Linked DNA regions of Caenorhabditis elegans. The protein of the gene in region 1 purifies or fractionates together with the protein of each later gene. This does not show direct contact. Each region holds a gene or a part of one and is shown on either strand. Other genes may lie near its edges.

Evidence for each region. Proteins that work in one complex are often made in the same cells at the same time.
Region 2: the proteins of rsa-1 (region 1) and spd-5 purify together in Caenorhabditis elegans (affinity purification with mass spectrometry; 2 studies listed by BioGRID, with this or other methods). This does not show direct contact.

Annotation. Positions count from the first base shown.
Region 1 is NC_003279.8:10,184,159-10,188,056, forward strand, and holds rsa-1 (Serine/threonine-protein phosphatase 2A regulatory subunit rsa-1), read left to right. Parts: upstream 1-1,697; 5' UTR 1,698-1,719; coding exon 1,720-1,819; intron 1,820-1,868; coding exon 1,869-2,038; intron 2,039-2,085; coding exon 2,086-2,197; intron 2,198-2,244; coding exon 2,245-2,333; intron 2,334-2,384; coding exon 2,385-2,611; intron 2,612-2,658; coding exon 2,659-2,760; intron 2,761-2,803; coding exon 2,804-2,921; intron 2,922-2,975; coding exon 2,976-3,059; intron 3,060-3,101; coding exon 3,102-3,314; 3' UTR 3,315-3,392; downstream 3,393-3,898. Other genes in the region: clec-87 (C-type lectin domain-containing protein 87), read right to left, coding at 488-671, 721-1,087, 1,138-1,288; Nucleolar protein dao-5, read right to left, coding at 3,614-3,772, 3,821-3,898. UniProt on the Caenorhabditis elegans protein: Regulatory subunit of phosphatase let-92 which recruits let-92/paa-1 complex to the centrosomes, thereby regulating microtubule outgrowth from centrosomes and mitotic spindle assembly ensuring the stability of kinetochore microtubules.
Region 2 is NC_003279.8:5,170,763-5,178,411, reverse strand, and holds spd-5 (Spindle-defective protein 5), read left to right. Parts: upstream 1-1,757; 5' UTR 1,758-1,814; intron 1,815-2,875; 5' UTR 2,876-2,890; coding exon 2,891-2,942; intron 2,943-2,993; coding exon 2,994-3,181; intron 3,182-3,228; coding exon 3,229-4,326; intron 4,327-4,373; coding exon 4,374-4,455; intron 4,456-4,500; coding exon 4,501-4,898; intron 4,899-4,946; coding exon 4,947-5,160; intron 5,161-5,203; coding exon 5,204-6,089; intron 6,090-6,138; coding exon 6,139-6,389; intron 6,390-6,439; coding exon 6,440-6,771; intron 6,772-6,822; coding exon 6,823-6,918; 3' UTR 6,919-7,110; downstream 7,111-7,649. Other genes in the region: npp-6 (NUP160 middle TPR domain-containing protein), read right to left, coding at 1-209, 268-911, 962-1,087, 1,136-1,440, 1,495-1,576; Condensin-2 complex subunit hcp-6, read right to left, coding at 7,111-7,263, 7,308-7,649. UniProt on the Caenorhabditis elegans protein: Plays a central role in centrosome maturation and mitotic spindle assembly during the first division of the zygote. Required for the centrosomal localization of air-1 and zyg-9. Probably not required in late embryogenesis and during larval development.

The DNA of each region.
Region 1 (3,898 bases):
CTCCGATGTTACGCGTCGCGTGTTGTTTAGCGTTCAAACGAATATTTTTTGAAATTTTCTTCTAGAATTTACGCTTAGCAACACGCGACGCGTAGAGAAAACCGCAGTTGGCACGGTGCCAGATCCTGAAAACGTAGATCTTGTTTTGGCGGATCTTGTTTTCGTAGATCTTGTTTTTGAACAGATCTTGAAAACGTGGTGCCTCTTAATTTATGTTTGCACATCAATTTCCCGAAACACCAACTTCTAGCAAGAAAAACTTGACGTCATGCTCGACTTGCTTCAAGCAAAAGAGGTCCTCAGATAGAAAACAGGATTTGATGTTGAAAATTTATTTTCCGATATAAATACATAACGTCTCAAAATTTATAAAGTGAGTGCAATGATTGTCAAACGTAAGGGGGATGGAACCCGGTGACAAATAATAAACGATTAGTTGTGGATGATTGTTTACATGATTAGATTGGTGTCAGAAGTACAGAAGGCTTCACTGCAACGCGTTGACGATGGTCGAATTGCGTTCACAAATGGAGTACAGCATATACGTGCACGGGTAGAAGTACGTGTATGATGCCGATTCCAGGGATGATGGTGATTTGTAGCTGGCAGCACAATTGGCGAGTGATGACCAACCGTTGAAGAGTGGCTTGTATGGTTTGATGAGCCAGTTGCTGAAAAAATTAAATTTAGAAGCAATCAATTGTTGTTGACAAAACCTACATTTTGGTTGGATTGAGAGCTCCTTCAGTCTGCCATCTTGGCAACTGCTCCAACTTCTCGTAATGGGTGAATCTGACAAGTCCGATCCACGAAAAGAAGGCTTCCTTGGCTTGAACACGAATTGCGTCCCACTCTTCAATCGAATTGGCCACGAACAGTGTTGACTGCTTCTCGAAGCAATTTCTCTCGGCCTTGGCGAATCCAAGAAGCTCCTTCTCGATCCAGTAGCACGAATCGGCGAACCGAAGCCATCCATCGGGACACTTCTCAGTCTGATTGACGAAGGCTGGCGGCTGTCGAGCTGGGAACGAGATGTCTTCGAATGCCGTTGTGCCGAGATCCTTGTAGTCCCAGTTGTAGAACGTCACTGAAATTTGTTACTTTTAACGAAAATTTAAAGATTTCAAAGAAACTTACGTCGTTGATGCGGCTGTTCGTCGTTTTGAACCAATGGTGATGTTTCTGGAGCTTCACCACTAGCTTCAGGAAGCTCGGTTGAAGAAGTCGGAGCTGCATGAACGAGGAATAGCCCAGGAAGGATGAAAGCAACGAGAAGGCAAAAACGCATGATGAGCAGTGAAGACTGAGGAAATGAACGTTTCGTTCTCCTTTTATGCACATTTTTGCCGCCGTTTCCTGAAATTTTCACAAATGCGCGCCGCTAATAGACAGAGATCAAATAATAATTTCAAAACAAATCAAGTCTAGAAATATCCTAAACTTCATTTCTGAACTGGTGTTATGAATTTGAAGCACGGATGATGGTTTAAATGTTCTGTAGCACACTGCAGATTTTCATTTATGAAAATATTTAACTTTTAAAAGGGCAAGATCTTGTTTTAAAAAATTGTAATTAATTTTGAAAATTATATTTTGAATAGCCGCCCTTGATATTAACAAAATATGCAGTGGAGCGCACTTAATGCGCCCATTTTCAACAGAAAATAACGCTCGAGATTCGAATTCAATTCTCTCCTCCCTTGCAATTTTCGTGTCACTATGCCAACCGACGAACCTTCGAAGCGAAAATCCATTTTACCAACGATTCCAACATCCCTGATGTTGAAGAAAAGTAACGAAGCATTGAGTGACTTCGAACGTGAGTTGGGTTCAGCGAAAATGTATTATTCAGCGGTATTATCTTTCAGGAACATTTAATGATCGAGTTATGGATATATTTGCCGAAAATCGAAGAATAGATGTAGAGGAGTTTAAAAAAAATGCCGAATGCTTTTTAAACATCATTCGATCGAACAAAATCGATTTAAATTGGGGTGAAGGGGGAGAAAGTAGATATGTGACGATAACTCGATTAATGGTAAGGTTCTCGGTGAATTCAATAATTAAGAATGTGCAATTATTCAGAAAATACTCAAAACTTCACCACAATCAATCAAAGATCTACTTCCACATAACACAGTGTCGAATTTCGTTAAAATAACCAATTATAATTTAACAATTGATATCACTCTTTTAGGTTTGTGCAAAGCAGGGAGTTCTTATTATAAAGAATTTGAATTTCAGAGGAGCTTGTACGAACAGTCATTCACGCTGAGGAGTCCTACATCAAACTTCTTCCATTTTCAGAAAATAGCACAGAGATTTCCAGTTATGTAAGTATCTTATTTCTACTCTAAAAGCTATTATCCTGACACTATTTTCAGAGTCTCCAAGACTTTGTGGCCACACATTTTATTCCAATTATGATTGAAGAACCGGAAAATCCTGTCTATTATACAGCTTACGCAGTTGGAACAATATTTTTCCTATTGGGTGCTCGACGGCGAGACTGTGTATATTTGAAGGATTTACTTGCTTCAACACTTCTACTACAACTCGAAGAGTGTATTCATGCAGAGAATCATTGCTTATCACCTCCGAAAATTGATGTGTATGATTTATCAGTGCCATAAATTGCTTCAAAAAGTCTTTTTTCAGATTCACCGTCGCTCAATTTCGAACCACTTTATCAGAATTCCGATTCCTTGACTCCCAACGAAAGGGATTGTTGGCGCCAGCGGACTTGAAATTTTTCAGAGAGTATGAAGAAATTATTTTTCAGTCTATAAATCCTATTTTTCAGCGGAATCTTCAATGAGGTTTTCACCAAGCGAATCTTCGAAATTTCAATAACCTATGAAGATGGACGTATTGATTTCAAAGCGTTCGTTGATTTTGTCACCGCTCTAAAGTTCCGTCATGTAAGCGATTTTTTAATCAGAACCAAAAAATTGTTCTAAAAAATAAATTTCCAGACCACTGCCTCCGCCAAATACCATTTCGAAATTCTGGATCTAAAGGATGATGGACTGTTGGATGAGGAAGAAATTCGATCAATAGTGAGTAAAACTCTCCAAGAACACTTTCTCATCGCTTAAAAGTCATCATTTCAGCTTCAAAACCTGCCAGATTACGTCCCGGAAGATAATAGTGTGAACCCGGAAGTAGCAACTGCCGAACTGAGAGATATGATGCGTCTGAATCAGAATGGAATTACATTGGAAGAGTTTCTTGCTAATCGGATGAACTCGACGTTTGCTGGATTCCTCTCCAATTCCGATGATTACATGAAGTACGAACGACGCGAGCAATAGCAGTCCCGCTAATTTTATTTTTAAAACTATTCTAACCACTCATTTCGGCCTGCAAGGGTAATAAACAGCTTTTGGACCAAACATTTTATGGATGAGACAAGAGGGAGAAAAACGGAAACATAACAAGTTATATTTGAAGTAACAAAAGTATACAAAACATTTGTTTTGGATCAACTCAGGATTATAAATTTAAAGGGGAAACAAAAAGGAAAGCAACAGACAACAGATAAAAAACGAAGTGTAGACGGGGGTGAGAAACAATTTTGGAAACAAATTAACTTAAGGATAAAGTTAAGAAACTAATCGTCAGAGTCAGAGAACTTGATAGAATTAATAGATTGGTTGATTGGACCACCTCCGTAGCTTCCCTTCTTCTTCTTAGTTTTCTCATGACGGAATGCTTTTCCAACAACTTTTCCTAGGCTTTCATTGGCACGCTGTCCCCATTGATCGAAGTGCTGAAAATAAATCGAGTTAAACTTTGTTCGTAGTCGCTATATGTTTACCGAATCATGCTGGTTGTTTCTAAATTTTTCAGAAACGCTATCCTTTGTCATTTGCACGCGTCGGAATGGTGAAGACTT
Region 2 (7,649 bases), 5.0 Mb from region 1:
CATCCGTATTGCCGATCGGTTCTTCTTTGGTAGTGGCAGGCGAAGTGAACTGACGAACGGAATGCCAATCGAAATCTGTGAAAACTCGTCCCTTTTTCCATTGGATAGCAAATGAGATCCGTTTCATCGAATAGGTTTTCTTTGCAGATGAACTTTTGAAAAGAGCAGAAAGTGAAAATAGTGCAGCTGTGAGAGGATTATACAATTCCCTGAAACAATTTTATATTTAGACAAGAAAAAAACCCATTTTATAACAACGATTCTTACCCATCTTGTGTCTCATCAAGACTTTCCGATTCCTTTGATGGGAAATAGTTTTGAATAAGCTCGAGATCAACAAGTCGTTCATCAACGGACATCGATGTTTCGAACATTTGTAGATGTTGAATTTGATCATTTGAAACTTTGAGAATATGAACTCTCATCCCGACGCTTTTTCCCGAAACTGCCAAATCACATCCAACAATCAGAAGAATATCCACATCGAATGAATAAGCTCTGATAGAATATACAGTTTCAGTTGGTTCCATTGGAGACTTTTCTTCCTCGAAGTCTGCAGATTCTAGATCTCGATTCAAAGATTTTCCGTCTGAAGCAAAGTAGTTATTCAAGTCAATAGTGCTTGGCAATTGTTTTTTCGTCTCAACATTCCATGCTTGCACCCATCCGTCTCTGGTAACAGCGAACACAATATCGGATTGGACTGAAATTTTTCGCTCTCTCGTGACTCCAGAAGTCGGGCGAAGATTCTTCATAACACATGCATCACTGACTCGTTTATCAGTGCCACCTAGAAGTTTTCCCAGAAGACCAACTTCTCCCATTGTGAATTCTTCGTGTTTATCACTGGATTCCGTGTATGATCCCAATGTGACAATGACCAACTGCCCTTCAGCGGTACAGTAAGAAATCTGAATTCAAAATTCGAAATATAGGTTGTAATCAATTTCCATTTTTATACCGTATTTCTTGAAGGATGATGTGTAACACTTGCACGAATCGGGCGCCCTGGTGTTGAAAGGGAGTGAGATGTTCTGAATCGGCGGAAATCGTCATCTTCTTTAATTCTTGCAAGAATTGAGAACGTCTGAAAATAATTATTCTCATTCGATTATGGAAATTTTTGAGAACAAACATCATGGCCTTTGGAGTGGAGTCTCGCGTAGAAACGATGAATTGCAGAAGCTGTGGGAACGACAATACATAAAACCCCTTCCTCGAAAATTGTTATCGATGTTCCAGGAATAATAGGTGTGCGTGTGAAGTCAATGCACAACGATCCATCCGTGATTGAGTAGAGCAAAGAACGCTCCTCAATGAACAGTTTCTGGCCAATCGCACGCCACAGGAAAATCCGATCGCCGTAATTTGAGCAGTGCGGAAATGTTGCAACTCCTGCGGACGGTTGCACATCAAATCCATTCGAATGAAGCGGCGCATCTAAAAAAGTGAAATTTGTTGTAGAAACAATTATTTAATGAAATTGAAACTTACTGGTGTTTACCACAAAAGTTCTAGCCGGCTTTATAGCAAATCCATCCGTGAAGCTGATTTCCGACCCGTAAACCAGCTCCATCTGAAATTAAGCATAAAACACGATGTTAAAGCAAAAGAGAAATATGGAGATGAAATAAACACGTTCAAAAATATTTAAATATCGTTAAAAACAATTTTTCATTGGCGTGAACTTGTTTTACTTGTTTTTTATACGTTTTTTTATACGTGAAAAAATGGAAGAAAACAATTCACTTTAAATTTTAATCACTTATCGAGAAGGTTCTCATTGGATTCAAAGAAAAACTTGTTAGAAATTTGTGAGTTTTTACAATAAGCTTCATATTTTGACACTTTGCGATGTAAAATTTTACAAAACAATGATGAATTGAGCCGAAAACGCCTCCATATGGAGCTCCATTCGAATTCAAAAATAAGGGGCGTGGCTGCATGAGCAATACCGCCGCATGGTATTTCGCAACATGCGCACACTTTTTCTCTGTCAAGAAAAACGAGGCCCCACGAAAAGGGGATCTGCAAAAAGGGGATCTGCGAAAAGGGGAGATACGAAAAGGGGAGATACGAAAAGGGGAGCAACGAAAAGGGGATCTGGCACTGTGCCAAACGCTATTTTTCTCGAAGAAAACGATACAACGATTGTCGCGAATACGCAGAATACTGAGTCATCAACAATGACAAAGCCGGGAAACTCCTGTTTGAAAGCCGCGCCAAAAGACACACACGTCACGCGTGTTACAGTACTACCACACATGCACATCAAACCCCAACACGTCGACACCACGCAAGGAAATCGTCACTTCTTCGTTTTACTCTTGGACCGGCAGGTCGCATGTTAAATATATGAGCTTTCTCATTTTTATCATTTAACGGATTTATCAGTAATAAATTATATAATTCTACCACTTTTGAACCTATACCGATCCGAAACATGGTGCATCGGCTCCGATGTTACGCGTCGCGTGTTGTTAAGCGTATCTTCTAGAAGAAAATTTCAAAAATCAACGTGCGTTGCGTGAGAAAAATTGCGTTTTGTGCGTTTGGCACAGTGCCAGCTCCCCTTTTCGTTGCTCCCCTTTTCGTATCTCCCCTTTTTGCAGATCCCCTTTTCGTTCTGCTCCCCTTTTCGTGGGGCCTCAGAAAAACGCGCGCCTAAACGTGAATTTTGAATTTTCTCCGCGTCCGCGAAATTCTTACGTTTCCATAGTAACAAAAGTTGGTCCGCACTTGTTTTTCATGATTATGCACGCCCAAAGAACGGTGCTGAAGCTTCAAATTTTGCAACCTCCTGTTCATTTTGACTCAAAACTCTTAATCCCAAAAAAACGCTCAATTTTGTTTTCGAACCCGTTTCTTGTTTCAGAAAACTTCGCGTTAAATGGAGGATAATTCTGTGCTCAACGAGGACTCCAATCTCGAGCATGTCGAGGGTAATTATAACATTTAAAATCAATAACTGCATAAATGCAAAGGTTTTTTAGGCCAGCCACGAAGATCTATGTCGCAACCAGTTCTGAATGTTGAAGGAGACAAAAGAACGTCTTCGACCAGTGCCACTCAACAGCAAGTATTGTCAGGAGCATTTTCGTCTGCTGATGTTCGTAGCATCCCCATCATCCAAACATGGGAAGAAAACAAAGCGCTTAAAACAAAAATAACTATCCTGAGAGTAAGTAATTTATCATATGCTTATTTAGAAATGATTTGAGTTTGTAGGGAGAACTGCAAATGTATCAGCGCCGGTATAGTGAGGCAAAGGAAGCGTCGCAGAAGAGAGTTAAGGAAGTTATGGACGATTATGTCGATCTCAAATTAGGCCAAGAAAATGTTCAAGAGAAAATGGAGCAATACAAACTGATGGAAGAGGATTTGCTAGCAATGCAATCGAGAATTGAAACTTCCGAAGACAATTTTGCCAGACAGATGAAAGAATTTGAGGCACAAAAGCATGCAATGGAGGAAAGAATCAAGGAACTGGAATTGTCCGCTACTGATGCAAACAACACAACTGTCGGATCTTTTCGTGGAACTCTTGATGACATTCTGAAGAAAAACGATCCAGATTTCACATTAACCTCTGGTTATGAAGAAAGAAAGATCAACGACCTGGAGGCAAAGCTCCTCTCTGAGATCGACAAGGTAGCTGAGCTGGAAGATCACATTCAGCAGCTCCGTCAAGAACTTGACGACCAATCTGCAAGGCTTGCCGATTCAGAAAATGTTCGCGCTCAGCTTGAAGCGGCCACTGGACAAGGAATCCTCGGAGCTGCTGGAAACGCTATGGTTCCAAATTCAACGTTCATGATCGGGAACGGTCGTGAATCACAGACGCGAGACCAGCTCAATTACATTGATGATCTTGAAACGAAGTTAGCTGATGCGAAGAAGGAAAATGATAAGGCTCGTCAGGCACTCGTTGAATACATGAACAAGTGTAGCAAGCTTGAGCACGAGATTCGAACCATGGTTAAAAATTCGACATTTGATTCTTCTTCCATGTTGCTTGGTGGTCAGACATCCGACGAGCTTAAAATCCAAATAGGAAAGGTGAACGGTGAATTGAATGTGTTGAGAGCTGAAAATCGAGAACTCCGCATTCGTTGTGATCAATTGACCGGAGGCGATGGAAATCTTAGCATTTCACTGGGACAAAGTCGACTGATGGCTGGTATTGCGACTAATGATGTCGATAGCATTGGACAAGGAAATGAGACTGGCGGAACATCGATGCGCATTCTTCCCAGAGAAAGTCAATTAGATGATCTTGAAGAAAGCAAATTGCCGCTCATGGATACATCATCTGCTGTTCGAAATGTAAGTGTATGAAAATTATTATTTAAAATAAAGTCTTGAATATTTAGCAGCAACAATTTGCCTCCATGTGGGAAGATTTCGAGTCAGTGAAAGACAGCCTGCAGAACAACCATAATGACACCCTTGAAGGTAGTAAAATTGATTCCTAGATTTTTTGAAATTGATTATTGTTAGGTTCCTTCAATTCGTCAATGCCACCACCTGGTAGAGATGCAACTCAATCGTTCCTCAGTCAGAAGTCTTTCAAGAATTCTCCGATTGTAATGCAGAAACCAAAATCACTTCATCTTCACCTGAAGAGCCATCAATCCGAGGGAGCTGGCGAACAAATACAGAATAATTCGTTTTCTACGAAGACTGCTTCTCCTCACGTGTCACAAAGTCACATTCCAATTCTGCACGATATGCAACAAATTCTGGATTCTTCTGCAATGTTCCTTGAAGGCCAGCATGATGTAGCTGTAAATGTTGAGCAAATGCAAGAGAAAATGTCCCAGATCAGAGAGGCTCTTGCTCGACTTTTCGAAAGACTTAAATCTTCTGCTGCTCTTTTTGAAGAGATTCTTGAAAGGGTATGAAAACTGTCAAGTTGTGAATCTGTAAATCTGAGTTTTTTGTAGATGGGATCCAGTGATCCAAATGCGGATAAGATCAAGAAAATGAAGCTCGCATTTGAAACAAGTATTAACGACAAGCTCAATGTATCTGCCATCTTGGAAGCAGCGGAGAAGGATCTTCATAATATGTCACTCAATTTCTCAATTCTCGAGAAGTCGATAGTTAGTCAGGCTGCGGAAGCTTCGAGAAGATTCACTATTGCACCCGATGCTGAAGGTAATATAAATTTTAGAGACGCTCATAAATCAATATTTTCCAGATGTCGCCTCATCTTCTCTTCTCAATGCCTCGTATAGTCCACTCTTCAAGTTTACAAGCAATTCAGACATAGTGGAAAAGCTTCAGAATGAGGTATCGGAGTTGAAAAATGAATTGGAGATGGCTCGTACACGAGATATGAGATCTCCATTGAACGGTTCGTCTGGAAGATTGTCGGATGTGCAGATCAACACCAATCGCATGTTTGAAGATCTCGAAGTATCTGAAGCAACGCTACAAAAGGCTAAAGAGGAAAATTCTACATTGAAAAGTCAATTTGCTGAACTCGAAGCCAATCTCCATCAAGTTAATTCTAAGCTTGGAGAAGTGCGATGCGAGCTCAATGAAGCGTTGGCTCGTGTGGATGGTGAACAGGAGACTCGTGTCAAAGCTGAAAATGCATTGGAAGAGGCTCGTCAGCTCATCAGTTCTCTAAAACATGAGGAAAATGAGCTCAAGAAAACCATTACTGATATGGGGATGCGATTGAATGAAGCAAAGAAGAGCGATGAATTCTTGAAAAGCGAGTTATCTACCGCGCTGGAGGAAGAAAAAAAATCCCAAAATCTAGCAGATGAGTTGAGTGAAGAATTGAATGGGTGGAGAATGAGAACAAAAGAGGCGGAAAATAAAGTTGAACATGCTTCATCCGAGAAATCTGAAATGCTTGAAAGAATTGTTCATTTGGAGACTGAGATGGAGAAGTTGTCGACTTCAGAAATTGCGGCCGACTATTGTTCTACGAAGATGACAGAAAGAAAGAAGGAAATTGAGTTGGCGAAGTATCGCGAAGATTTTGAGAATGCCGCTATTGTAGGATTGGAACGTATCAGTAAGGAGATATCTGAGCTAACCAAGAAGACTTTGAAAGCCAAGATTATCCCAAGGTATTATCAAACGTCGTGCTTGTTTTTTTTTATTTGAGAACATTTTCAGCAACATCTCATCGATTCAACTCGTTTGCGATGAACTCTGTCGTCGTCTTTCCAGGGAACGAGAGCAACAGCATGAATACGCGAAAGTTATGAGAGACGTCAATGAAAAAATTGAAAAGCTTCAATTAGAGAAAGATGCTCTCGAACATGAGCTGAAAATGATGAGCTCTAATAACGAGAATGTCCCACCAGTTGGAACATCGGTCAGTGGCATGCCTACTAAAACATCGAATCAAAAGTGTGCTCAACCTCGTAAGTCATACTTATGCACATCAGAAGTTGAATTTTCACCAATTCTCCAGATTACACGAGCCCTACTCGACAATTGCTCCACGAATCAACTATGGCTGTCGACGCAATTGTTCAGAAACTCAAGAAGACTCACAATATGTCAGGAATGGGTCCAGAGCTTAAGGAGACGATTGGCAACGTCATCAATGAATCCAGAGTTCTTCGCGATTTCCTCCATCAGAAGCTCATTCTATTCAAAGGAATCGATATGTCCAATTGGAAGAACGAGACCGTCGATCAACTGATCACAGATCTCGGACAATTGCATCAGGATAACTTGATGCTTGAGGAGCAAATCAAGAAGTACAAAAAGGAACTGAAACTGACAAAATCCGCCATCCCGGTATGAAATTCTTTTTCTATTGAAATCTATTTTGAAAAATATCATTTTCAGACACTTGGTGTCGAATTTCAAGACAGAATCAAAACGGAAATTGGCAAAATCGCAACTGATATGGGAGGAGCTGTGAAGGAAATTCGCAAAAAGTGAACTGATCTGTTAATGTATTAAAATGGAACCAGTTTTATCAACACTATCATCTCGACAAGATTAACTTGTAACGATTGTATTGTTTTCCCAGCCTAAAGATACACCTAATGCATCTATCAATGTACTTGTGAATTAAATGCTTCTTTTCTGGTAGTTGACTGCAATCCCATTACAGATAATAAAAGGAACAGATTAATTTAATGAAAAAACAGCGGACAATCTTACAATAATACAAACAGTTGAGATAAATAAGACAAATTTCGATGGAAGATTTATACAATGACATTGATCAGCTTTCCTCTTCATCCTCTTCGAAGATATTGTGAAGGTGATAAGCTTGACTTTCTGTAAAATTAAGGCGTTTTGTAAATTCAAGAAATTGTGAATACCTTACTTCTGTTTTTCAAGTCTTCCTTTTCGGTAATAGCCGACAAATTAAGGGAGAATGTGACATCGCTTGGATCTGCGTCTTCTCGTGATCGAATCGGAGTTGAACAATGACGTCCTGCACCAAGCTTACTTTCATCGAAAATCAACGGAGTCACTCCGCGTGACAGTGGATCATTTTCAGTGTTACCAGATGAACTTGTTGGCACATTTTCCTCTTCCTCGTCAACAGATTTCCGTTTTCGATTAGAATTCTCTTTCACGACTGGTGGCTCTGTTGACTGACCCCGACGACTACGACGCAAAGTGACGTTGGCCGAAATATTGACTTCCTTTTCCGGGGA